Oryctolagus cuniculus: one gene and its partners. The protein of the gene in region 5 interacts with the protein of the main gene of each other region in a pairwise test. Links are inferred from orthologs where the notes say so. Each region holds a gene or a part of one and is shown on either strand. Other genes may lie near its edges. The genes, in order: LDOC1; ANP32B; PTS; EIF5A2; SDCBP; cytochrome c oxidase subunit 4 isoform 1, mitochondrial-like; PYCR3.

Region 1 (3,470 bases), on a different chromosome or scaffold from region 5:
CAGGCAATAAGGGTTAAGGGACAGAGCTTCCCTGACAGTGTTAAGGAACCCAAAAGACAAGCAGGGCTCACACTGGGGGCTTCACAAAGTTCACTGAAAATGTACATTATTTTAGTTCCATTTTCCCATGGACTTCATGAAGCCCCTTCATGCATGTGTCCAGGTTTATACGCTTGCTGTGTCACCATGATTAGTAATAGCATCCCCTTTTACTCTCAAAAGTGTCCTGGTTTGGGATGATGAGCCACATGCTCAGCCACCCCTTACCCATGCCACCCTGGAGGCCCCAGAAGACATTCCGTTTGGGCTTTAAGCTATGCCTTGGTAAGGGAAGCATTGGAATATTTTTAAAGCCCCGTGGAAACTGTCCTCTGTAGCCTAGAGATGACAATAGGGACCACTGGGATTGAATTGGACATCAATGGGAATAGCAGGAGTCAGTGTGAGCATGGCAGATGCCAGTGATAGCACTTAACCATTAAAAGACAATCATTTCTCACTTTTTGTAGTGCTTGATATTTATTGAAAATAATGCCAACTTTTTTTTTCCAGGTAGTATTGAGGAGCTGAGCTTAGTGCGTTTTTGCTTTTTGTTTGTTTTGTTTTTAGAAACATATGTTCAACCACACACATTGGTGGGGCTGCTGCAATTATGAAAGAAAAACGACAGTTGTGCATTAGAGAAAAGAGACATCAACAATTTGGTTGCCAGGCACACCAGGTCCCCGCAGCACTCAGGCTGGGTAGAGGACCCTAGGAGTAGGTAGGGAACTAACCAGGTTGAAAAACAGCCCCTTGAGGGGCCGATGAGCTGTCCAAATCAATGTCCGAAAAGGTGTAGCCAAGTCAGAAGTCTTCTGTGTTGGTCCTTGTCTCTAAAAGCGATGATCTGTCAGAGGCTTGCAGTGGGCGATGGCGCAGTGGTAGCATGAGTCTCTGTGCAGGTGTAGGCCTGGCAGCGAGGCAGGTGGCAGCAGCAGTGTGATCTGAGCAGTTTGTAACAGGGGCCTGGCCTATAACTGGGGCTTATGACACAGTTCAGATGAGGTGGGGAGAGGTCCTGGGGCTAGGCAAATCAGATGACCGGCTTCAGGGTGAGGCCCCTGCCCAGCCCCAGCAGCAGGTAGCTGGAGCACTACTCCTGGAACAAAGACAAGCACTTCGGGGGTTGGGGAGGGGAGAACAGGAAGGCAAGGGGAGTGCAGCAGCTCCGGAGGTCGGGTGGGATGGGGTGGGGGTGGAGGAGAGGGAGAAGTGGCTGCGTGCAGGGCTCTCCCCTCATAGGCCCCCAGCGGCTCGGGGCCTAGTAATCATCCTCTTCATAGTCGTCGTCGTCGTCTTCGTCATCATCCCAGCCGAAACACTGCTTCATCTCATCCAGGAAGGCCCGGTAATCGCCTAGGATGGGGCTATCCATCTCGATGTAGGGCACCACCCACTCCTCGGCTTCCCCGGTCAGGAGGCTGATTAGGAATGCCACCTTCATGGCGTCGTTGCAGAACCGGTTCTCGTTCACGAGCATGTAAGACGCCGTCTGCACAATAAACTCGGGGAGCCGGGAGCTCTCGCCGTTAAACGTTTCAGGGAAGGGCACCGGGCAGCTCGGCGGACGTACCTGGCGCAGCAGGCTGGCCCTCTCGCAAACCAGCAGCCGCAGCTGTTCCATGAGCTGGCTGTTCTCGATGCTCAGGGCGCGGTGCCTCACCAGCAGTGCGTGCAGCAGTAACACAAGCTCGTCCACCATCTCGAACAGCTTGAAAGGTCTGGGCTCGCTCGAGTAGGCTCCGCTGGGCCAAGATGCACACAAGAGGCCTTGCAGGAAGTGCGTGTCCTATAAAGTGCTGTGGCCAGGGGCGGGGGACGGCGAGCGTGGGGTCCCGGCGGCTGCGCAAGCTCCGCCCCCGAGGCCACTCAGGCAGGCGGCGCGCCGGCGCAGCAAGGTGCGGGCGGGGCCGGGGAAGAGGCCAGGACGCAGTGGGGGCGTGGCCTGGCTGCCGCGAACCGTTGGAGGGGACTTGAGACCAGGGAGGGAGTGGCCGGGGAGGGAAGCGCAGGGTCGCGCAGTGTCGCGGAGAGCAGACAAGTGCTGGCTCGCTAGGAGAACTGGTAAAGGCTGTGAAATGGGGCCGAGCCCCGGATGTGAGGCCTGCGTTAGCCTAGGGCCTGGCGGGCACTGAGCGCCATGTCGCAGACAGCCGACTCGCACAATTCACTGTTTCGCGGGTCTGCAAACGCCAGTTTCTTGGGTGCGATGTTTTGTTGATAGGATTAATCGCCTTTTCAAACCTCCCCTAGAGAAGTACTGACGCTGCTGACTGCCCTGCTGCAATCACCGATCCTTTCAGAGTCATAAAGACTCTTAAGGGGTCCGGGCTTTCGTCGCAAAGCGGTATTTGAACAGGGACTTTTATTTAGAAACCATTACTAAGTGTTGAAAAAATTCTGAATAGAGGCTTATAACAAGTTCTGCAAAGTCACCATCTGATAAGCGCTTAAGGTGACCTCCCTGTGTGGCTCTGTTTCACGTCCTGATATCAGAGCCTGTGGCAATGGTTGTTATTCTTAACAATGAGGAAACCATGAAGACATTTGTGCTCTTTAATGTTTTTTTCTATTTGAATGTGAATATTCAAATAGTTTTTGACAACGAATGCAGCCCTCTTTGTCACTTCTACCATTGCCAGACCGCTAAAAGCAATCACTTTTAGCTTGCTTTCTTCTCTTCCTACACTCTGTTCTCTATAGAGTAGCTGTGGGAATCCTTTAGCGCAGAAGTCAGATCCCTTCCCTCCCTGGCTCAAAACCCTCCAATAGTTTCCCCTGTCACTTAGAATAAAAAACAAAGTCTTGACCATGCCCTATAAGGAAGGCCCTGCCTACTCTCCTAGGTCTCCCATTCCCAGTTCTGCTCTAATCACACCCCACCCCCTGCTGATTCTTACACATATCAGCTAATTCCAGCCTCAAGGCCTTTGTACTTTTTATCCCTCTGAATTGCAAAGCTCTTCCCAGTTAGAGGCCTGGCTCCTCCCCTTACATTCCTACAGAACTTTCCTGAGCACTCCGGTTCTCAGAGCGCCCTGTTCTGTGCCACCCAGTCTCTAACCCCTTACCTTATATGTTTCAATACAGAACATTTATCATCATAATCCTGGCCAGCACATTGTAGAGCACTTTGTTCATCATCTGCCTCCACTGTAGAATGTAAGTTGGTGCAGAGAGAGGCTTTGTTTGCTAGCTGCTTTATCTCTAGTGCCTAGAAGCCAGCCTGGCCCAGAGAAAGGTCTCCATTAATGTTTGGTGAATGATAGCATCTCAAAATGCAAATGTTGAGATGAAAACTAGAAATGGTGGCTGCACAAAGTGTCCAAAAGGATTCTTCAAATTATGTAGTGCAGCTCTGATGATGAAATCAGTCATAATACAAATAACAAAATTATTTTTTAAAGTAATCTCATTCACTCTTTACA
Region 2 (4,169 bases), on a different chromosome or scaffold from region 5:
GCTTGCGGTTCCTGGGCCTCGCTTCTCCATCGGTGACATGATGAAAGGGTCACCTGCCTGACAGGGTTGTCAGGGGATAACACGAGAAAGAACGTAGCAAGCCCCTAAAGGTGCATGCTTGGTAGCTGCCTGTAATTTTTTGATAAAAGCCCTCATTGCCTGGTTCCCAATGACAGGTCCCCAGGTGCCTTCCCGAGGAGCACACCCCTCTCCACTTTCCCTCTCCACGGCTGTGTGGCTGAGACTACAAGGAGAGGAGGAAACTCCCAACTGGGAAGATTCGCCTCTTTCCGTAATCCTTCTAAAACGTCCTCTTGAAATGAGAATTCATTATCATAAAAACTGATATGTAATTGCTTCAAAACTAAGTTTGGGCTATTTATAGTCTGCCACTTGGGTAAAACCACGGGGGAAGGGGCTTCAGTCCCATAAAACTATCTCAGTTAATGCATGGAGTTTTTTCTGTAAAAAACTGCCTCTTGTCCACACTAGAAATAAGAAGGTATCCGACTGCACATACCATGCTGTTTATTTACTTTCTGCTGAGTATAACTCTACGGCCCGGACCTGGGGCTCTAACCGTGGGACCCCTGGAGCCGGAGCATGACAAAGGCGGCCTGACAGGCGTCACCAAAATGGATACCACCGAGACTCGGCGTGCCTCACGGGGGGCCCTAGGTTGTAACTGCGCTAGACGTGAGCGGGGAGAACGGTGTAACTGCGAGGCCCCCCCCACCCCCCACGCCGCCCCGCGGAAATGCTCATTGTTTCCTTCGGAAGTCCTCTCGGGCATCAAAATGTCAGAAAAGCGAGGGAGAGCCTCCGCGGCGGGGGGACGCTCGGCGGCTCTGAGGCTGAGGCAGGCGGCCGGGCCCGGGGCCAACTCCGCCCGCTGCCACGCGCTGCAGCTCGGGCCCGCCGCGATGCCGCCCACCCCTGGGTCCTGGGCTGCGCGTCCGACGCCACCCGGCCCAGGAGGCGCCAGGGTTCGGGCCGTCGGCCCCCGATTGTGCAGGGGGAGGGGGTGGAACGGAAGGGCGACCCCCAGGCCCCCGCGCCGAGTTCTCTGCCCATCTCGCGCCTCCGCGGGCGTCGGGGGAGCCTCCGCGGACCGACTCGCCCCTCGCGACCCCCGATCCCCGACAGGAGGGCCTCCCGCCAGCCCTGCCCCACCCCATCGCAGAGCACAGCGAGGCGGGCCGGGGGTCTCGGCCCGGCGGCAGGCGGAGAAGCCCCCGAGCAAGGTCTTACATCAGCCGCCCCACGTGCAGGCGGAGGGAGGGAGGAAGTCGCTCCCCTCCCCGGGGCTGCGCCTCCCCCCGCCCCCGCCCCGCCCTCCCGCCGCGCCTCCCCGCCCCGTCCTCGGAGCAGCCGCGGCCGCGGAGCCGAGCGGCGCCGCGCGGGGCCGAGTGGAGCCGAGCAGCCGCCGCGCCGCGTCGCCGGTTTAAGCGCAGTGCGAGGCCGCGGCCGGGGGCGGCGGTAGTGAGAGCAGCGCTGCGCTCCAGCCCCCTTTTCCCTCCATGGTTTCTCTCCGCTCCCGTGAGTAACTTGGCTCCGGGGGCTCCGCTCGCCTTGCCCGCACGCCGCACGCCGCCTGGGACCGCGCCGCCGGCCTCCGCCGCGAGCAGACCCCCTTCCGACGGCCTTCGCTGCGCAGGCCGGGACGCCTCTCCCCCCTCCGCCCCCGCCGCGGAAAGTTAAGTTTGAAGAGGGGGGAAGAGGGGAACATGGACATGAAGAGGAGGATCCACCTGGAGCTGAGGAACCGGACCCCGGCAGCTGTAAGCAGAGCCCCCGTCGGGCGCCCTTTCCCCCCCGATGACTTGCATGTAATGGTGGCCACCTGCGGGGGCCCCGGGCCGCGGGTTCGCGGGCTCCGGCGCGGGGAAGGGCGCAGCTCGCGGGCTGGGACGGGGAAGGCGGGCGGGCGGGCGGGCGCGGGCGGAGGGGGGGAGCGAGCGCGCGGGGATTAACTCTTTGGCGCCCGCGGGCCCTCGCGGCCGCCCGGGGAAGGCGACGGGGTGAGGGAGCGCAAACTTTGAGCTCCTCGCCCGCCGGGGTCCTCTCCCGGAGGGAGCGCGTGTGCGTGTGGCCGGCGGCGAGAGAAGGAGGCGGGGGGTTGTGTAACGCTGGGAGCCATGTTTGCAGCCTCCCGGGATGCGCGGCCGGGCGGAGGCGGGCCTGCCCGGGAGCCGCGCGGCCATCCCCGGCTGGGCCCGCCGCCGGCCACGCCGGACTCCGCACGCCCCGGGCCGGCCCCGGGAGCGGGAGCCGGCGGCGGGCAGGGCGGGGGGCTGCGCCGGCCGGGCCTCGCGGTTGGCGTCGGCCCGGCCGAGGGCAGGGGCCGCGGGGGCGAGCAAGGGGGCTCTGCTCCTTTGAAGGGGGCCAGAAGCCCCCTCGGGCGCTGGGGGGCCCGGGCGGGCGCGGCCTGGCGCGCGGAGCGGGGGAGGGGCGGGCCTGGGCGGCGGAGGTGGCGCAACCGCCGCCCCTCCCGAGGCCAAGTTTGAAAAAAGGACGCGGTTCCCGCCATTTTTCAAGCCTAAAAATAAAACTTTCTCCCCCATTGCCCTCGCTCTCCTTTGAGACGCCCTCAGCCATCCTCCCTGCGGCCCCCTCAGGGCGGGCCACGGGCAGGCGTTGTGGCGGCGGCCGGGCCCTCCCCACCCCCGCCGTCGCAGTCGCAGTCGCCGCCGCGGAGCCCGGGGGCCCCTGCCCCGGGAGGCTGGCCCCTCGGTGTGGGCGGGCGGCGGCCGCTCGCGCCAGCCCGGGCGCGCCACAGGCCGCCACAGCGCCATGTTGGCGGGCGCCCGTCTCCCTCCGCCGCGTGAGGCGGCCGGCCGAGCGGCTCGGAGCTCCGGCGCGGCCCGCTCGCCCTCGCCCGCCGCGCTTTCCCGGGCCGAGCCTTCGGTGTGTCCCGTCCCGCCGGGGCTCGGCTCGCACTGGCGGTCGCCGCGCGCTACGGCTGCAGCCGACTCGTCCCCTCGCGGGCGCGCTGCCGGCGCCCTCCCCCCTTCTTAAAAGGGCAACGGCAGGCCTGGCGCGCGGGCGTTCGCGCGGTCTTGGGGCCGGCGCAGGGCCGTGCGGTGGCCTGTGCCCCCGCACGTGCCAGGGTGCGGCCTGCCGCGGCCGGCCTCGGGCCGCTGCTGCGTGTGCGTGGGCCCGGCCCGGGAGCGTCGCCTCTTGTATCGCAGCGAGCGCGAGCCCCCGCGTGGAGAGGCGGCGCGCGGCCGCCCGAGCCCGCGGCGGGTGAGTCGCTGGCGGCAGGAGGCCGCGTGGCGGGTGCTCAGGTGGCTGTGGTTAGCAAGTTGCACACTTGGTGGGATCGGCCGACCGGGCTGTTTACCTGCAGGCCTTGAGGTCAGCGGGCGCGCGTGGTGGCGCCCTGAAACCCCGAGTTGGGTGGGTGGCCTTTTGGCGGGTGTCGGGGTCGAGTCAGACATTTTGTGCCCGCCACGTGCTGCGTGTTGCGTGGTTAGACACCTTGAAGAGCTCGTTCTCACCTGGAGGGCTTAACGCCAGAGTTTCCATTATTGCTTGGAAGTTGGGAATCAATACAGTATCTAAATTTAGCCAAAATTCCCCCTAAGAAAGGTGCACACATAGGTCTTTTTTTTTTTTTTTCTTTTTTTCTGCCAGACAGTGAGAGAGACAGAGACAGAGAGAAAGGCCTTCCTTCCGTTGGTTCACCCCCCAAATGGCCGCTACAGCCGGCGCTGCGCCGATCCAAAGCCAGGAGCCAGATGCTTCCTCCTGGTCTCCCATGCAGGTGCAGGGGCCCAAACACTTGGGCCATCCTCCACTGCCTTCTGGGGCCACAGCAGAGAGCCGGACTGGAAGAGAAGCAACCGGGACTCGAACCCGGGGTGCCAGCGCCGCAGGCAGAGGATTAGCCAAGTGAGCCGCGGCACCAGCCCAGACATAGGTCTTTAAAATCTAAATTTCTGGATTCTCAAACCAAAAGCCTGCTAAAACGCTCGGAGCAAGTAGTTTTCTCTGCTAAATAAGTGCCACTGCTGTTCCCAGTCCATGGTGCCCTTTCTCATATGGAGCAGTATAGCTTTAAAAATATGTGTGTGTGAAAGTATTAGTTTTTTCAAGTAATCAGTTTAGTTTTTGACCACCTTGCCAAGATGCGTGTGACTATTAAAGTTTTAATTAGGCCAGTCGTT
Region 3 (4,077 bases), on a different chromosome or scaffold from region 5:
CCTGTGCAAATACCCTACGGATTCCATGGCACCTTCATACCCATCTGATGGGATAACCACAAGAACCAGATTTAAAATCAGTACGCTTTGTACAAAAGAGAGAAAAAAGGGCATCATAACCTTCCAAACCGTTTGATTTTTACATTACTATTAAAAACAGAATTCATGAGACGACTATGGTTTTATCTTTTCTTGAGGCTTTTCCTTGAAATCATTAAGCAAATGTTGATACAACCTGTTGACAGAGTATCAATGTACACTTATTGGCTATATCTTTCTTTAGATAATAGTAAGTATGCATAAAGAGAAACTAAAACTGGGTCATTGCCACCATCAGACTGTAAGGTAACAGGTCCTGGGAGAGCACAAGCAATTTCAGACTTGGAGTACTGGTCTCATAGACATCTTCTCCTTTCCATTACAGCCATCTTTACCCCTGGAGGCTTCTAAACTGGCTGTTTACAGCAGACACTACTGTAACTGCACCAAGCTCCTGCAGACCACCCACAGCCACTCCCCCTTCCCCAGCTCAGCCTTGAGTGGAGGCTGTTTTGAGGGATATCACTAATCAGGCATTTTGTCTTCAGGTGTGTAGCTCTTCAGGGACTGATGAAAAGCCAGTAATTGGGCAACAGGTGGCACTAGAGACCACATAATCTCTATATTTCTAAACCTCACCAGTTTTCACCAATAGCCAGAAGCAGCTACCTTCAGCTGCCACTTAAACCACACTCCTGCCCACACCCTCAAAATCCTTTGTTCCCTTTCCTTTCAGTAACACCCTTGCCTCCTGACTGAACTCCAACCCTGCACCAGTTGATAACCCTATTTCCAAATAAAGTTACATTCTCAGGTACTTCGGGTTAGGACTTCAGCATAGGAATTTTTCTTAGGGGGACACAGTTCAATCCATAACCCATAAATGATCAGTGATGACCAGAGAGTGAAATTGGTGAGTATCTTTAAATAGGATTACCTTTAATAAGACAACTTAGCATAAGAACTCTGCATATGCAATGAAATATTTTAGTAGGAGACTAAGCAACTTCTTAGAAATATCTTCTGTCCTTTCACCTTCTGATTCTTTAAACTGTTTTTGGAATGAGAAATGTTTGTGTAACAATGGTTTCTAGACAATATTTATCTAATATAATCAATTCTTGGGAAATATTGTTTCTATTCTGAGTGACCCTGGATAAATAATTCGTGGGCCTGTGTTTTCTTATCTATTAAGTGAGAGGAATGAAGTAGTATCTATCTCAACAATCTATAAAAGTTTATAACTCTATTTATTTATTTGAAAGGCAGGCTTACAGAGGGAGAGAGGCAGAGACAGAGAGAGATATCTTCCAACTGCCGGTTCACTCCCGAAATGGCCACAATGGCCAGAGCTGGGCCATATCGAAACCAGGAGCTTTATCCAGTTCTCCCACGTGGGTGCAGGGGCCCAAGGACTTGGACCATCTTCTGCTGATTTCCCAGGCATATTAGCAAGGAGCTGGATCAGAAGTGGAGCAGCCGGGACTTGAACTGGTGCCTATGTGGAATACCAGTGCTGCAGGCCGTGGATTAACCTGAACCATAGTGCTGGCCCCAGGTTTATAATTGTTTAAAGGTCTTTTTAAAAATAACCCAATGAGGGACATGAGACAAATACTTGAAAATGTTTGTCTACATGACATTAATAATTTAATGCACAACAAACAATATGAGGGTACTTTAAAAGTTTGTGGAAAAATAGAATTAAAAGATAATTGGTAGAAAAAATTTTCAAATTCATGCTTTTCTTTTTTTCATTTTCATAATCTCCATTTTCTATTAACTTTTGAAGACCCTGTGTGTGTAGCTAGAGATAGGAAACAATTCAGAGAAATCACCAGTGAATTGTCTTGGCCCTGCCTTCTGCAAAGTTCTTGAAGAAGATAAGCAAACAATAGTCCTGCTAGCATTCCGCGCTTTGAGATCAGAGCCATTTAGATGTAGTCCCCACTTCACTCATACAACACTTACTAGCTTTGTGCTCGCTCCTTTGTCTCAGAAGGCTGGCTTCTATTAAGAGTCGCTATAAAGTTCCCAGATGGACATGTGCTGGCAAGGTAGCCCCCATATCCCTCACTTTCCAGTCCTTATATTTCTACCACTCCCATGATTTTATTTTCCTTTTCTTAATGCACAAGAAACGACTTATCCTGCTCTTCATTTGATTTTTTTTTTTTTTTTTGTCATGGACAATGCCAAGTTCTCCTCCCCAGGGCCTGCTGCAGTGCTAGCCACATGGTAGGTGTGTAATAAATACTTAATCAAAGAATGAATGGAAGCAAGAGGGGACACGTTGTGAACCTTCTTTGTGAGTAGATGTGAGGAAACGGGATCTTCTCCTTCCAGGGTGTCTTCACTGGCCAGAGAGATGCTTACACGTGTTGATGGTTGCGTGTTCACACTATACCAACCCACAGGGATACCTGGGGTCCATGCACACTGGGGGATGGTGAGGACGGCTTTAGGAGTCCCCTTAGTTGGACTCAGTACCAGTCCAACGAGAGGGAACGCCACGTGGTCCTACGGGCGCTCTCAAATTCCTGCCCCTTTTATGCTGTAAGTAGACGGTGGTCCTAGGATGCACCTGGTAAGAACAGGCAGTGTCCGGAGTCTTCCATTTTAACTGAGCCAAGGCTTTCCAGGAGCGGGAGAGGAAGTTCAACGAGGTCACTCGAGGACCCACCGCGTACCCACGGCGGCCCTAACCGCATGGCGTGGTCTCAGGACACCAAGTCCCCACCCACGCTGTCTGCGCGCTCCAAGGTTTGCCTAACTCATCGAACTCCCGCTACTCGGAGAGAGCGAGCGCGCGCGCGCGAGGGACGCGGCCAGGCGGGCGGAGAACTCCCCAGGCCGGGATTGGCTGCAGCCCAAACCGGGGCGCGCTTCCGGAGACAGCACGAGCCCGCACTGCGCAGCCGCAGAGGGAAGCGGCGCCGGCTGAGGGCGTGGGCCTGGAAGACCATGAGCACGGCGGGCTCGGGCGGTCGCCGCTGGGCGCGGGTGTCCCGCTTGGTCTCCTTCAGCGCGAGCCACCGGCTGCACAGGTGGGGAGGGCCCCACAGGTGGCCAGAGGCGGGCACTGGTCCCTCCGGAGAGCGTTCTGGGGGCGGGGCCGGGAGGCGTGCCTACGTGCGCGCGCCCGAGACCTTGGGTGGGGCCGCGCCGACCGCGGGGTGGCCGCTCAGTGACGTGGCCCGGCGCTAGAGCAGACCGAGGGGTCTGCTGGGTAACCGGGCCGGTTGACTAGGGGGGCGCCCTGGGTTCTGGAGCCGGGGGCTTTAGTGCCTCTCTCAGAGGGCGGCCGTGAAGTTCAGCGAGTTAACCTCGCCCAGATCACCCTGTACTTGACAAGTTGGCCAAAATATGTCATGAGCACAGCTACTGTGCGTCGAGGAGAATTAATTACACGGCACGTTTGACCAGATTTAATATGAGCTTATATATTCAGTTTCCTAAACCTGCAGCGCAGTTGAGATTTGAACCCTAGGCAAGTTTGATTTTATTTTCATTTTGTTTGAAACACACACACAGCACGAGCAAGGGAGCCCCTTCCATCCGCTGGTTCACTCCTCAAATGTCTGCAACAGCCAGGGCTGAGCCAGGACCCAGGAGCCAGGATCCAGGAGCCAGGCCCTCCACCCCTGGACCCAACGTTCCTGTGGGGACCTAAGGACTTGCATCACCTGCTGCCTCCAGAGCGTGCATTAGCAGGAAGCTGAATGGAAAGCAGAGGAGTCGATGATACGGGATGTGTCCCCCCCCCCCCCCCCTTACTTAAGAGTTGAGGAGAGTTTTAGTGCTCACTAGCAAGCTCCACTTTCAGCCCCCATTTTTCTTGTCTGAGAAATTAGGATAATTATTTCTGTCATTTCTTTTTTAAAAGATTTATTTGAAAGGTAGAGTTAGAGAGAGAGAGCGTGAGAGATAGCGAGCACCTCCATGGGCTGGTTCCCTCCCCAAATAGCCACAACAGCTGGAGCAAGGCCGATCCGAAGTCAGGAGCCACGAGCTGAAAGCTTCTTCCGGTCTCCCATG
Region 4 (3,500 bases), on a different chromosome or scaffold from region 5:
ACTGAGTCAATGATCCTCACAAACTCTCTAACAATGCCTAAATGTCTGGAAATAACACACATGTGACCCAGAAGATTACAGAGAAAATCAGGCTGTCACCTAAAACACCCTTTAACATAATTCAGTTCGCTTAATTCTTTCCTAGTTGTATTTCATACTAGTAATTGAATTAAGTCATATGACCAATCAGAAAACAAACATGTTTAAAATAATTTTTGCACATCAAGTAAATTTCTTCCATGATTCATTTTCATTTCAGTTCAGAGAAATATATATGCATTTAACAAATATCCCAAATCAAGTTAAATAAGGATTTCCAGTTTTTGTCTAACAAATATTTTAATGTTAAAACATCTAATGAAAAGTGGTTGGTAAGCAGTAATTGCTGATAAATGGCAACTCTAATTAACAAGGTTAAAAGAAAGTGCTGCACAGTATCTTGTAAACACGGGTCACCACTTTAAATGTAGGGTTGCAGGTGGTGCTACAAAAGTTAAAAGTAAAACCATAACTAAAAACAACTTTGTTTTACTATGCTGATTACAAAGGCTTCAAATAAAAACCTATAGCTTTAATCAAACCCCTTTGCCACTGTCCTTTTTGTCTTCTTTACAGTCTGACATGCTCATAAGTGGACACTTCAAAAAGTTTGTGGAAAATGGAAGGCTGTTTTGGTGCAAAAATTTTTGAAATCCTATGCATAGTTTTATCATAATACATATTTTTCATGATCTTTTGATTTGAAATTTTTTTTACAGGAAAATAAACTTACCTTTTAATTCCACTTTCCACGAACTTTATGAAGTCGCTGTGTATTCACCCAACAATTTAATGCCCATGTTAACCACAAGAAGGTACTAAAACCACCATATATGGTTATTTCAAATTTGCCAACCATTTGGCAAAGAACAGTATGACTGAGCGAATACATGTGATTGCACATGGCCACCAAGATACCTGTACTTTTTGATAACATGGTTTTTGCTTAAAGATTTTTTTGCCAGAGGTTGAAACTGTGATAATTTCAATTCACTTTTACATGGATTCTTTACTATTAAGCTTGAAATTAATGCCGAGCAATTCACCTTAATGTGGTATTGTAATATCACTATATGTTACATTGATTTACAACCCTGGTTTATTTTGCATTAACTAAAATGCAGAAATGATTTTCTCATACAAATCACATCTGCTGAAGCTACCTTGTCTGTTTCTTGGATTCACAAACTGAAAACCACAGGAACATTATAGGAAAGACACCTACAAAGTTAAGACTAAAGAATTATACATCTTGATTATTTTCTTAAATTGCCAATTGCTTACTAAACTAACCCAGCACAATGTCAAAACAATAAAAAAAAATGAGGTGGCTTATGAAGGCCATAGCTTTGGTGACAACTTAGAATCAGACTTTAGATCTGGAGCTGACCCAGACCTAAACAGTACGCTCAGGCCTGATGTCCCCCCTCTTTATTTGCACGGCTTTATGGCTACAGCATATTCTTCACTCATTGCACACATGACAGACACCTAGAAGAAAAAAATTGCAGGCAAAAAGTTATTCAGAAATCAATATATAGAGATCTATTTAGTTCCTCATATAATGTGTACTTGTGGATATTTCGTGTGTACTGATTTTGGAAAAGTTATTTGAAAACAATCTACCTTCTTGACAGTTTTCTAAAGTAGAAGTTTTCAAACTTCAGCTGTAAAACAACATCTAGGGAACAGGGAGAGTGAGAGCTGTACCTCAGCACTTACTAGATGCTATACTTCTGAAAGATGCAGCAAAGACAAAGTAAATCTCTCACTTGCTAGCACTCCCCCAGTTTGCTTTCTTATAGCTCAGATGCAGATCTTCAAAACAAACTGGGGATTGACATAGGCTATACAGCAAAAATGAACTTTGATACTTTCTTTGGTAATGGGTCTCTAAGGGTATCTTGGAAAAATCACCTTATAGAGATAAAAATTTTAAACACTTGGCAGGATTTTTAAATGGCATTTGTATTTGGTATTTTCTGCTTACTAGTTAGGACAGTTTTTTTTTTTTCAGTTTTTATAAAACGGATTAAAACAATTTTCTCCTAGGTCTTTACCTGTACATCTTCGCCTGCATTGTATTTGCCTTCTATTTCTTTGCCTAGTTCACCTTCTGGCAGTTTAAGATCCTCACGAACTTCACCAGTTTCTGTCAGCAGGGAAAGGTAACCATCCTGAATGCATATCAGCTGTTAGAAGACATCATAGCATTTGCACTGATTAGACTATACCCATTCCTTTGTAAGGCTGGCACGATTAAATTGCAGTCAACACTAATTTGTATAAGTACAGAGTAATATACAGTAATATATTCTTGGTGTATAAAAATGCTAAAAATAAAAGAGTATAAAATACACACAGAACCCAAGTATTAAGTACACCATTCACTGTACTCACTCCTCCCTTCCCAGGCTCAATCTCTGTATTATTAAACAGTTTAGGTTTCTTCATGGTGTATTCTAAAGCATTTACTTTTATGTGCACAATATACATATGGCTACTTTTGGAAAAAAATGGGACAGCACGAGTATTTTTTAGTAAGCTATTTTCACTTAATAGTACATCTTAGAAATCTTTCAAAATTAGAAAACCACCACACAACTACATTCCTGTAAAATGAATAAACAATTGCATGACTATACCGTAATTGAATTAATCATTTCCCATTAATAGGCATATGAATATTTTTTCAATTTTTCATTATTACTAACAATGCATCTTATAATTTGATTATAAACAGTTAAGTGGAAAATTTTTGTTTTCTAGCTTGTTGCTTACGATAGTTTTTTTTTTTTTTTTAAGAAAACCAAAACCAAACACCTAGTTACTGATACATTAATGAAACAAACCCTAGTCATCAATCTATACTGTGCGTAAGTACAATTTTGATATAACTGAATTTCTTTTATTATAGGAATGGAAAACATGTATTCTAAAAGCACATCCACTATCAGTATGCCAAGGATTCTGGAAGGTTTTATAAAATGCAGGTGTCCAGAATACCAGGGGCTAACATACTTAAGGGGAGTCAAAGACATGGTCCTTGACCCCAATTAGCCCATGAAATAACCCAGGCATCCTATTGGGATAGTTTCTAGAGTTCCACACTCTCCTCTATGTACACCATCTACCAAATCTGCCTATGGTTTTCCATGAACACTCCAGCCACCGCAGATTTGAGTTTTTGCACATGGCTAAAATCTAAACAAAACAAAACAAAACACAAAAACAATCATTCAGAGCAACAGCAGTCACTGTTAATTCACCTCTTAGTCACTCAAACATTTGTGAGGTGGTGGGTAGAGGAGGGAGGAGCAAGGAGGTTGAGATAAAATAGTAAATTTTTTTAAATTAAAAGAAATATATTTTACCTAAGTTAGGTAAGTTTCATATATTTCCTTTATACCATTTTAGGAATATAGTGGCACTTCTCTCCCTATCCTTCCTCCCCCTCCCTC
Region 5 (3,934 bases):
CTACGAGAACCTTCACCTCTAAGTGCTTGAGAGCCTGGAAATTGAGCAACAGCTTGTCCAGCTCCTCGCGCTGCACTTAGCAGTACATACCTATTTTCATCTGCCACCCCAATGTCAGTGGTTGGCTTTCTGCGTATCAGGCAAGCGGACCCAGGTTTGGGGGTTCTATAGCAACTTCGGGGTTGTTCAGCAACATACCCTGCAGCTTTGCTACAGTTGTTTATTAGCTTGTGTGTATGAGTCAGTTCTTAGGAATTTTATCACAATCATGTTAAAAAAAAAAAGTGTTCCCTTCCCAAGCTACTGTGTGATTGTTTTTAAATGTTTTTCACATCAGCTAAACTATAAGCTCCCCAAGGGCAACTTTATTACAGGTCATCACTTCTGTGCCCAGATTTTTATTAGTTACCAATAAACTTCTTGTAAATTAATGATATTTTGTCAAGGGCTCTGGTATTTCAAAGTAACTGATTACTCTGCAATGGGTCGTTGGTACCTATCTTACAGTTCGATGTAAAGATTAAATAAGATTATATACATTAAGTTCTTGGAATAATGCCTAGCTCATAGCACTCAAGAAACGCTAGTTTTTAAGTTTTTGTGTTAGGCTACAGCTATCATTGCACAATATTACACCTCTTTAACAACAAACGTTAAAAGTAATAAAAGCCCAAACAAAAAACCCAGATAAATGGGGCAGGAGTTAAGAAAGGGTCTTGGGAGGAGTTTACCAGCAGGGTACTGTGACTGCTGGACAGCAGTGACGGAAGCCGGAAGCTGGGCAAGGAAAACCTTCCAAGAGGAAGGCTGGCTTCTCGGTACCTCTTTGTATTAGAAGCCAACCAGGTGACCGCAGGCGGGGGAACGCACGCAGTGAGCGGGTCCCGAGGTCTCCTTGAGCATAAGGCGACGGGACCGCAGAGGGCAGACTGGGCATCCTCGCTGGGCAGTCTGGCGCCCCCGACGGTGGGCGGTGCGGGCGGCCAGACGTTTGTGACCCTTGGAACCCCAGAAGAGAGCCCCCCACGCTCCGCCCCCGTTTCCATGGCCCCGCCCCACCCCCCGCCATCCGGTTTCCACGGGGACCGGATCACCTGACCCGGCGCCGTGCGCCTGCGCGGGCCCGAGGCCCCGTGGGGGGGGGGGCGGTGCCGTGACGCGCCTGGCGGGCGGTCCTCGGGCGCGCGCCGCTCTCGTTTTCTCGGGTCTCGGAAGTCGGCATCAGTGATCGAGGCGGCGGCGGCGGCGGCGGCGAGCGAGTCCTTGTGGTCTAGGTGAGCAGCTTTTGGGAACGAGGGGGAGACGTCCGCGCGACACCTCGGGCTCGGGGGACAAGGGACGTGGACCGCTCGGGCCACTTAACGGAAAGCGCCCCCGTCACAGCGGTTTTCGGGAGGCGGCGGAGGCAGGACGCCCGCTCTTCGGGGGGCTTGCGCGTCCTTCCCTGCCCCCAGCTGGGCCTGAGGAGGGAAGTTTCGGGAGCGGCGCGCTCCGTCGGAGTCGGGGTCCCGCCGGACCGCGGGTGGGGTGGACGGAACCCCGAGGCCCCCGCTCTTGGCGGCGCCCGCAGCCCCGCGCGGCTCTGGGCTCTCTTTCCGGGACGGGTTTCTGGACCCTTGTTGTTCCTCGAGAGAGGGGCTCCGGAGGTGGGTGAAGAAGGAGCCGCTGGGCACGGAGCCTCCCGGTGCTCGGCGTTCCTGGGGCTGTACTCAGTCACCTTCCTCGGTGGCTCGCCAGGAACGCCCGGGCTCCGGGAGGGGAGAGGGCGGTGTTTGTTCCGCGGGCGAAGCCTTGACTTTGTGGAGGGGGTGGGGAAGCGGTCGCGGCTCCGCGCCGGGTGCTGGAGAAGTTGGAGCCGAGGGAAGAACGTTTCCAGTGGGGTGTGTTCGGAAGGAAACACGCGTATTTCCTTTGAGATCTGGTGACTCAGAGCTTTCGTTTCGGGATTTCCTTGGAATAATGGGGAAGTGCAGGCAGTGTGGATATGGAAACTTTTTCCTTTCACCGCGCTGGGATTACGGAATCATTAGCGTCTTCTGTTGTGTGATTTTTGAAAGGACCTTCTAGGGTTACCTGGTTTGACTGTATTCTATGCTTAAAAATTTACCAGGTTTTTTTTTCTTTTTCTTCCCGTTAAGGACGTTACTTAGAAAGTACATTCAGTTTACCAAATTCTTAAACATCCATTTGTTTTAAAGAGAAAACTGTTGGATTAAAAAGGGAAAGTCGAAACGCAGCTGCAGGCCTTCTAATTAGATTGATTTCTAAAAGTCTGTGTGATCAATGAGAACTCAAATTTGTCTAATCTGGTCAGTTTCCTATTTTGAAGTTTAGTGCAAATAGAAAAAAAAATTGTTTTCACCTAATCTGTTACTCAGCTCTGTAAACTTTAGTGCCTTAAAGGGTACATAAACCAAGTGGTTTGGGTTACAGAATAAACAAAAGGAAATGACGTTTAAAAAGTTAAGTGAATGGTCACCTCATCCTAGTTCAAATTTAACTCTGGCAACATTAATTTTAGTTGTTTTGGGTATTATAAGAAACTATAAAAATCAGGAACGAAGGGGAAATAATTTGCTGATGGTTGACACTTGAATGTACTTAAAACAGTTCTTTGAAATGAAGAGTTACTCAACTATTTGTTTTTCCTGTTTTTTTGAGTTTGGGGAACTTTTTAAAGGTAAATGCCAAAAGACTGTGAAAAGACTCCCCCAAGCAACTTTGAAAGAGTTCCTACACCTGATAGTTATATTGTCATTTATTTCTTTCCAAGTGCTGCCAACTTTTTTTTTTTTAATTTATTTCCTCGTTGAGGAGGTAGGCAGTCACTGACTCAGGACTGCCACAGTTAAAACAGTATCCGGTTTAAAAATCTCCTGTTTGTGTCGTCTAGCCAACCGTATTACTTTATGATAGGCTGTCCGCTGTTTTCAGTTTCTTGGATTTCGTCCAGAGATTTTATTCCTGTGCAGGCGAATGTCCAAATATATTTCTTTCCTTTCAATGAGCCAATTAAAATACTTTATATACTGCTGTACATCATGCATTTATTTTCCAATCAAAGTATTTTGGAACTCTTAGTTTTGTGCATGTTGCTTCCTTTGTGCAAATGTATATTTAGGCTGAAGACTTGAAGTTATATGACCGGGTGGGAGGGAATCTGAATTTATAATTTTCATAGATACCGGGCACCCATTGTTCATGAAAATTGTGTGTTTTTTTTTTTACACTCCCCAAACTGGTGATGCATAGGTGTTTCTCAAAGCCTTGCATCAGCAAGTGTTGTTAAACTGGGTTTTTGCTAGTCCTGTAAGTCAGAATGGGAACTTCCTGTGGCTGGATTGCTCAATGGCTGATCTGCAGAATCCCCCTGGATATTTGTTAAAAAGAAGAGTTCTTAAGTCCATTCCATGAAATCTGTGTCAGCCTGGGAAGCTATTTTTAACTAATGCCCCAGGTGATTCTAATCTGATGATTGGCCAAGTTTGGGAAACAGTCTCTGGAAGATTGTTTAGGGCTTTATCAAGTATTGCTTCTCTGCCTTTTGGCCAAGTGTAGGACTTCGTTAACTGTGTTCCTCAATACCAATGGGAACTATACTGAATCTTACCCTCAGCATGCTAGAAATCATCATCATCACTTTTTACCGTCTAAGGCCAGTGAACACGTTTTACATTTTTATGCCATTTCATGAATTTGTCTAAGTGAAAGGAGATAATACTGTTTTAGAAATTTTGATAATTTAATTGTAAAAATGTTAAATTTTCTTGGTTTTGAAGATAAATGGACAGCATTTTTTTTTAATTATTTATTTGAGAGGTAGAGTTACAGACTGAGAGGGAGAGACAGAGAGAAAGGTCTTCCATACACTGGTTCACTCCCGGAATGGCCGCAATGGCTGGAGCTGAGCTGATCGGAAGCCAGGAGCCAGAGC
Region 6 (2,517 bases), on a different chromosome or scaffold from region 5:
AACATGTTGTTTAGCTTATCTTATTTTTAATTTTATTTCATATTAATTTATGCATTTTCTCTTCTATTACTTAACATTTTACTTGAAAGTATGCCTTTATGATTTATGCATGTTTTATGCAGACCTGCCTCCTCTTTTCACTGCTATATAGTATTTCATTGCAGGGTATATCACAGTACATTTCTCATATTCCTGATTTGTAACTCAAGCGTTTCCAGGGTTCTGCTACTACAAATAACACTGCTATGAATAATCACATAAATTTCACTGAGGGCTCCTATGCAAGAGCTCTTTCAGTTCAGATGGAGTTAAATAACTTTCACAGAGGGTGTACAAACATGTAAATGAGTATCTCCATTACTTTCCAAATTGTTTGTGTCAATAAATAAACCTTTAAAAAATTATCACCATATGCTTACCAACTGTAATATTATTAGCCTTTTTAATTTTGTCAGTAAAGTAGTCTACATGCTGTATCATTGGAGTTAATTTTGTGTTCCATAATTTTTGCTTATGTTGAATATCTTTTATATAATGGATATTTACTTTCTCTTTTTGTGAAGTTCATTTATCTACTATTTTTTCATTGTGTTGTTTGTCTTTTTTTTTTTTTTTGACAGGTGGAGTAGACAGTGAGAGAGAGAGAGAGAGAGAGAGAGAGAGAGAGGTCTTCCTTTGCCGTTGGTTCACCCTCCAATGGCCGCCGCGGCTGGCGCACTGCAGCCGGCGCACCACACTGATCCGATGGCAGGAGCCAGGTACTTCTCCTGGTCTCCCATGGGGTGCAGGGCCCAAGGACCTGGGCCATCCTCCACTGCACTCCCTGGCCACAACAGAGAGCTGGCCTGGAAGAGGGGTAACCGGAACAGAATCCGGCGCCCCTACCGGGACTAGAACCCGGTGTGCCGGCACCGAAAGGTGGAGGATTAGCCTAGTGAGCCGCGGCACCGGCCTGTGTTGTTTGTCTTTTTATAATTCATTATGTTCATATTTTGTGGTTTGTCTTTTCATTTTCTTTGTGGTATCTTTTAGTGGTCAGTCACTTTCAATTTTAGTAAACTAAATGTTTTTTAAAATTTACTTATTTAAGGCCGGCACTGTGGCTCACTAGGCTAATCCTCCGCCTTGCGGCGCCGGCACACCGGGTTTTAGTCCTGGTAGGGGCGCTGGATTCTGTCCCGGTTGCTCCTCTTCCAGTCCAGCTCTCTGCTGTGGCCCAGGAGTGGAGGATGGCCCAAGTCCTTGGGCCCTGCACCTGCATGGGAGACCAGGAGAAGTACCTGGCTCCTGGCTTCGGATGAATCAGCACAGTGCGCCGGCCGCAGCGTGCCGGCCGCGGTGGCCATTGGAGGGTGAACCAACGGCAAAGGAAGACCTTTCTCTCTGCCTCTCTCTCTATCACTGTCCACTCTGCCTGTCGCGGCAGGCAGGGGTCGACGGTACCGGCAGGATGTTGGCCACTAGGGTGCTGAGCCTCGTCGGCAGGTGGGCGATTTCCACCTCAGTGTGCGTGCGGGCGCACGGGAGCGTTGTGAAGAGCGAGGACTACGCTCTCCCAAGCTACGTGGACTGGCGTGACTACCCCCTGCCCGACATGGCGCATGTGAAGCAGCTGTCTGCCAGCCAGAAGGCCCCGAAGGAGAAGGAGAAGGCCCCCTGGAGCAGCCTCACCAGGGACGAGAAGGTCGAGTTGTATCACATTCAGTTCAACGAGAGCTTCACTGAGATGAACTGGGGCACGAATGAGTGGAAGACGGTGGTGGGCACGGCCCTGTTCTTCATCGGCTTCACTGCCCTCATCCTGATCTGGGAGAAGCACTACGTGTACGGCCCCATCCCGCACACCTTCGACAAGGAGTGGGTGGAAGAAGTAGAGCTCGCTGCCGCAGAACACTCGCAGCGCTGCGCACGCACAGGAAACCCACGTCAGACAGCGCCAGTCCTAATAAACGACCCGTGTCCCCGAGGTCCTCTTGGACGAGAACTAAATGCAAGCGTCTGTTATTTAAAACAATAGATGTCTCCCAGGCGTCCGAAGTAAACATATACTGTCAAAAAAATTTACTTATTTATTTAAAAGGCAGAGATACAGAGAGAAGAAATGAGAGAAATCTTCCATCCTCTGGGTCACTCTCCAAATGGCTGCAATGGCCGGGGCTGGGCCAGGCTGAAGCCAGGAGCCAGGAGCTTCATCCAGTCTTCCTTGTGGGTGGAGTGGCCCAAGTACTTAGGCCATCATCCACTGCATTCCCAGGCATATTAGCAGGGAGTGAGATTGGAAGCTCAGCAGCCTGGACCAGAACCCATACCCTTGTGGGATGCTGGAACTGCAGGTGGAGACTTAGCCTTTTTTTTTTTTTTTTTTTTGACAGGCAGAGTGGGCAGTGAGAGAGAGAGAGAGAGAGAGAGAGAAAGGTCTTCCTTTTGCCGTTGCTTAACCCTCCAATGGCCGCCGCAGCTGCACTGCGGCCAGTGCACCGCGCTAATCTGACGGCAGGAACCAGGTACTTCTCCTGG
Region 7 (4,245 bases), about 84 Mb from region 5:
GGCCAGGGACAGCTGGGACAGGAGCGGAGCTGCCCACAGCCAGGGGCGGTGGGGACAGGAGCGGAGCTGCTCACTGCCAGGGACGGCTGGGACAGGAGCGGAGCTGCCCACTGCCAGGGCGGCTGGCATTGGGCCACTGGGTCCTGTCCCCACAGCTGTGACTGGTGGCCCTTATCTGTTTCATTTCACCGAAGGCAGCCGGCTCCTGTCCTCCACTGTGACACGGGGCTGGGTGCTACAGGTCCCTGCCGTGTCCCTCAGTCCTTGTCCCAGGGCATCGCAGTCCCAGGAAGCCAGGAGAGCAGGGACAGAGGGGGCAGCAGGGACGGCTGCAGGTGGGCAGGGCGACCTCACACTGGCACAAAGCATCCAGACCACAGTTCCCTGGGGGGGTCAGCCCGTGGCCCCACCCATCCCATCTCCTAGAAAACCAAGCCCACTGCTTCCATCGCCCTCTAACTGGGTGCTCGGGCTGCAGCCCTGGAGGGTCCCAGTGTCCTGCTGTCCCTCCCGGCCATGTCACTGCAGCCTCTGCCCCACTCTCCCGTCCCCACTCAAACGCTGGTTCCCAGGGACCCTCTCCCTGGGCCTGGTCTGCTGCCCACCTGCCAGGAGCGTGACCCCGGCTGTCAGAGCTTCTGCCCACCTCCCTTAGCTGTCGACCTCCGAGAGTCGGTGTGAACGCGGGGAGAGGCGCAGAGCCAGACCAGAGCAGCAGGGAGGGCCAGCACTGTGGGCCCAGCTGTCCAGCATCTGCACCTTCCGGCTGCAGTGACCGGAGCAGCCTCCCAGTCCCCATCGCTCCCTCCCCGGCATTGTTTGCTCTCGAATCTTGGTGAGACTGGCATGTCACGTGTGTTGGTGCCCACGCGAGCCTCTGCGTGGATGGGTGTGTGTGCGCCCAGGAGTGCCTGTGTGGGTGTGCCTCTGTGGATGCGTGCATGCGCACACGCGTGCCTCTTCGTGGGTGCGTGTGCGTGCGTGTTGGCTGCGGAGGGACTGTTGCCACAGCCCAGTGGACCGCGGCGTGAGGGACAGGTGCACCCGTCCGGCCGCTGCCTTGCGGTTCGGAAGGGATGCGGGGGTGGGGCTCGCCGGTGCGGAGCGCGGCGGACGTCATGGGGCTCAGAGACCACAGAACGCCTTCGCCGCCTCAGCCCGGGTGGCGGGTGAGACCCCCACAACCCGAGATGTGCTGAGGCACGCAGACGCCCGCCCCGGGCTCGCCCAGCGCTCCTGCGCCCCAGGGCAGCGGGGAGGCCCCGGCTCCGGGAGCCGGCTGACGCGGGCGCTCGGGGCTCCCGGGTCTGCGCGCGCGGGCCTTTCACCAGCTCCGAGCGGGTGGCCCTTCCTGGAAGCCCAGTCGCCCGGACCCACCCACCGGCGGCGGAGAGCGCCCTGCTCCGCGACGCCCCGCCCCTCCCCGCCCCCCGCGGCGCTCAGCCAATGGGTGGATGCGGCTCTCCGGCGACCTCGGCCAATGAGCCGCGGGGGACGGGCCCAGTGCCGGCAGCGGCGATGGCGGCGGAGGCGGCTCCGCGGCGCGTGGGCTTTGTGGGCGCCGGCCGCATGGCGGAGGCCATCGCGCGGGGCCTCATCCGAGCAGGTAGCGGGCTCGGGGCGGGAGGGCGCCCGCGGGTCCCCTCCGGACCGCGCTCCCGGGCGCACAGCCGGCTGTCCGCGGCCACGCGGGCTGGCGTGCGGAGTGCGGCGCTCCCGGGTTCTGTAGACCTAGGACTGGGGAGAGGGGCGGGGAGGGAGGGGAGGGGAGAGGAGGGGAGAGGCAGGCCGAGGACGTGGCTCGCTTCCGCACCGTGCCTGGACGTGCTGTCACGTAGAGCGCTCTTAGGTTAGCTCCATCCGTCTCCTCCGCTTTTGGAAGTGCGGTTACGTGGGCGGCTCCTGGAGACGGTGCTGGCCCGCGTGGCCCGCTTCCTGGCCTCACGGCCTGGGTGAGGTTCACCCTCCTGAGCCCCAGGCTGGTTTTTCCGTCTGTGCGCCCTCAGTCCTGTGGACGTCTGCGGCCCTAGGGTGTTGGGCATCCCCGGCGGCTGTCTGTCGGGAGATGCGGACAGCCAGGTGTCTCCTGGGCGGGGGGAGGGGGCATCGCCCGCGCACCCTCCCAGAGCTTGGAAAGCTGCACCTGCCACGCGGGCACCGGGAGGGGCGACCTTTGCCTTTCTGCCCTCGTCAGCCAGAGCTCATGGTGCAGAGGAGTGGGGAGCAGCCGGGAGAGCGCCCAGCAGGTCTCGGGGATCACCTGCCTCCCCGGCTCCACGGGCTCCGGGAGCCGCTGTCACAGATGTTGAGCCCAAGCGGCCACCCTGATGCCCGGCTGTGTCCAGGGGCTGATGGGCTGTCTTCCTGTTCAGCCCGGTCTCCCCAGCTCCCTGCCACGTGGCCATCCCAGCACCACCACCCCCTTCCAGGGAAGCTTGGCCCCAGTGAGCCTTCTGTGGTCAGGTGCCTTCAGAACCAGGACAACTCCCTGGCCTGGTGCTCCCTTTGGGCCACCGTACTGTGCTGCCCTCCCCACTGCCCCGGCCAGTAAGCCCCTGGGGTCCGTGTGCTCACTGGACAGGCCAAGCTCCTGGCCCCTATGTCCAGCAGCAGGCAGGGGGCGGTGGCTGCCCCATGAAATCAGTGCACCTGCTGTGTCGCCCCAGGCGGGCGGGACATCACCCAGTCTCTAGGGGCCAGGGCTGGGCGGGGCGGGGGGAGCAGACTCCTCCCACCCTCTCACCGCCCCCTCTGCCTTCTCCATTCTCTCCAGGGAAGGTGGAAGCGCAGCATGTGATGGCCAGCGCACCGACAGACAGGAACCTCTGCCACTTCCGGGTGAGTGGACGAGTGTGGGGAGCAACCTGGACTAGACTAAGTTACTCGAATTAAGACTTATTCTATGCACCTGCTCTCCCACAATATGGCGCTGGGAGAGGAGAAAACAGCTTCTACCCAGCTGCCTCCAGTTCAACCAATAAACAGTAGGACTTGCTCCTGATTGGAGGAGAGCAGCGTACTCGGCGTGTGGGCAGCCGAGTTGGGATTGGTGGAAGAGGACTATAAAGGAGGAGAGAGACAACATGCACCAGGAACATCTAAGGGGAACACCTGAGGAACACCTGAGCAGCCCCCGAGAAGCCCCCGAGAGAGCTGGCCGGCGGTGTGCCGCTCCCCTGCGGAAGTGGGGAATGTGGCAGGGGGAACCGCCCTTCCACGGAGGTGGAAGGGATAGTAGCCAACCCGGGAAGAACCAGCAGCAAACCCGGGGAGGGCCGAGCAGACGAAAGAACAGCGCAGGGTTCTGTGTCGTTCCTCCACGAAGAGGGGGAGCGACATAATGGTGCCGTGACTCGGATAGGAAGCCTAGGCAGGGCTTAGTGTCGTTCCTCCATGAAGAGGGGGAGCGACATAGTGGTGCCGTGACTCGGATAGGAAACCCAGGACGGATAGGAAACTTAGGACGGATAGGATACCTAAGAGGGAAGAAACGGGAAGAAGTGGAAAATGCCAGAGAGAGAGACTAGCAAACAGCCTAGGGAAAAGCCGGACGAAAAAGGTGCCAGAAGAAGCTATTGAAAGCCTAGGCATAGACTCGGATACGGACTGTGGGAAAGAAGTTAGGATTTAAAGTGAAAGCAAGAAGAAACTTAGACTCAGATACGGACTGCAGGTTGAAAGTGAAAGTGAAACCTATAAGAAACTTAGACTTGGATACGGACTGTGGGGAGAGGCCAGGAGAAATGAGGGAGGAATATTGTTGGAAGAAAACTTAGGGAAACATACCGGGTAGAGAAAAATGTTAGGGAGGATGAAGCCGCAAGTGCAGGCCAAGGTGGAAACGGAAGCCATCTTGGAATTCTTCAAGTCAGCCCGGGGAGCAAGAGGCGAAAATCTGGAACCAGAGGCAGAGACGTGGGCCGCCAGGTTGGAATTCGCCAGGTTAGTCCGGGGAACTTGGACTGAATGCCGATGGTGGCGGAAACATTCGCGGAAGCCGCCGCGTGCAGAGAGAGCACGGGGCGTGAATAGATAGGGAACGCGGGGCTGGCGTGAGGCCGTGGTGCAGGCGCGAAGTGCGTGGAGACTGCGGAGCGTGCGCGCAGAGCCGGGAACCCGCCGGTGGGGCGAGGCGCCGGGAAGCCGCGCAGAGCCGTGAAGCTGCCGCGGGGCGAGGTGCCGAGAAGCAGCCTCGGGGCGGGCGCCGCCGGGAAGCCGCGGGGATAAGAGAAACAGAAGTTTAGA

The links.
Region 1: the proteins of SDCBP (region 5) and LDOC1 interact in binary tests that used the Homo sapiens proteins (3 or more experiments, as listed by UniProt). The two-hybrid records come from large-scale screens. The link is inferred for Oryctolagus cuniculus from reciprocal best matches to the Homo sapiens genes SDCBP and LDOC1.
Region 2: the proteins of SDCBP (region 5) and ANP32B interact in binary tests that used the Homo sapiens proteins (3 or more experiments, as listed by UniProt). The two-hybrid records come from large-scale screens. The link is inferred for Oryctolagus cuniculus from reciprocal best matches to the Homo sapiens genes SDCBP and ANP32B.
Region 3: the proteins of SDCBP (region 5) and PTS interact in binary tests that used the Homo sapiens proteins (3 or more experiments, as listed by UniProt). The two-hybrid records come from large-scale screens. The link is inferred for Oryctolagus cuniculus from reciprocal best matches to the Homo sapiens genes SDCBP and PTS.
Region 4: the proteins of SDCBP (region 5) and EIF5A2 interact in binary tests that used the Homo sapiens proteins (3 or more experiments, as listed by UniProt). The two-hybrid records come from large-scale screens. The link is inferred for Oryctolagus cuniculus from reciprocal best matches to the Homo sapiens genes SDCBP and EIF5A2.
Region 6: the proteins of SDCBP (region 5) and cytochrome c oxidase subunit 4 isoform 1, mitochondrial-like interact in binary tests that used the Homo sapiens proteins (3 or more experiments, as listed by UniProt). The two-hybrid records come from large-scale screens. The link is inferred for Oryctolagus cuniculus from reciprocal best matches to the Homo sapiens genes SDCBP and COX4I1.
Region 7: the proteins of SDCBP (region 5) and PYCR3 interact in binary tests that used the Homo sapiens proteins (3 or more experiments, as listed by UniProt). The two-hybrid records come from large-scale screens. The link is inferred for Oryctolagus cuniculus from reciprocal best matches to the Homo sapiens genes SDCBP and PYCR3.

What each region holds. Positions count from the first base shown.
Region 1 is NC_091453.1:119,608,529-119,611,998, reverse strand, and holds LDOC1 (protein LDOC1), read right to left. Parts: upstream 2,109-3,470; 5' UTR 1,745-2,108; coding exon 1,304-1,744; 3' UTR 501-1,303; downstream 1-500. UniProt on the Homo sapiens protein: May have an important role in the development and/or progression of some cancers.
Region 2 is NC_091432.1:201,785,877-201,790,045, forward strand, and holds the start of ANP32B (acidic leucine-rich nuclear phosphoprotein 32 family member B), read left to right. Parts: upstream 1-1,369; 5' UTR 1,370-1,727; coding exon 1,728-1,781; intron 1,782-4,169. UniProt on the Homo sapiens protein: Multifunctional protein that is involved in the regulation of many processes including cell proliferation, apoptosis, cell cycle progression or transcription.
Region 3 is NC_091432.1:104,171,589-104,175,665, forward strand, and holds the start of PTS (6-pyruvoyl tetrahydrobiopterin synthase), read left to right. Parts: upstream 1-1,277; 5' UTR 1,278-2,748; coding exon 2,749-3,086; intron 3,087-4,077. Other genes in the region: BCO2 (carotenoid-cleaving dioxygenase, mitochondrial), read left to right, coding at 1-48. UniProt on the Homo sapiens protein: Involved in the biosynthesis of tetrahydrobiopterin, an essential cofactor of aromatic amino acid hydroxylases. Catalyzes the transformation of 7,8-dihydroneopterin triphosphate into 6-pyruvoyl tetrahydropterin.
Region 4 is NC_091435.1:109,418,971-109,422,470, reverse strand, and holds part of EIF5A2 (eukaryotic translation initiation factor 5A-2), read right to left. Parts: intron 2,232-3,500; coding exon 2,100-2,231; intron 1,531-2,099; coding exon 1,471-1,530; 3' UTR 1-1,470. UniProt on the Homo sapiens protein: Translation factor that promotes translation elongation and termination, particularly upon ribosome stalling at specific amino acid sequence contexts.
Region 5 is NC_091437.1:83,752,945-83,756,878, forward strand, and holds the start of SDCBP (syntenin-1), read left to right. Parts: upstream 1-1,134; 5' UTR 1,135-1,274; intron 1,275-3,934. Other genes in the region: uncharacterized protein, read right to left, coding at 732-1,069. UniProt on the Homo sapiens protein: Multifunctional adapter protein involved in diverse array of functions including trafficking of transmembrane proteins, neuro and immunomodulation, exosome biogenesis, and tumorigenesis.
Region 6 is NC_091434.1:149,299,163-149,301,679, reverse strand, and holds cytochrome c oxidase subunit 4 isoform 1, mitochondrial-like, read left to right. Parts: upstream 1-1,435; 5' UTR 1,436-1,450; coding exon 1,451-2,017; downstream 2,018-2,517. UniProt on the Homo sapiens protein: Component of the cytochrome c oxidase, the last enzyme in the mitochondrial electron transport chain which drives oxidative phosphorylation.
Region 7 is NC_091437.1:167,534,439-167,538,683, reverse strand, and holds the start of PYCR3 (pyrroline-5-carboxylate reductase 3), read left to right. Parts: upstream 1-1,445; 5' UTR 1,446-1,446; coding exon 1,447-1,606; intron 1,607-2,773; coding exon 2,774-2,838; intron 2,839-4,245.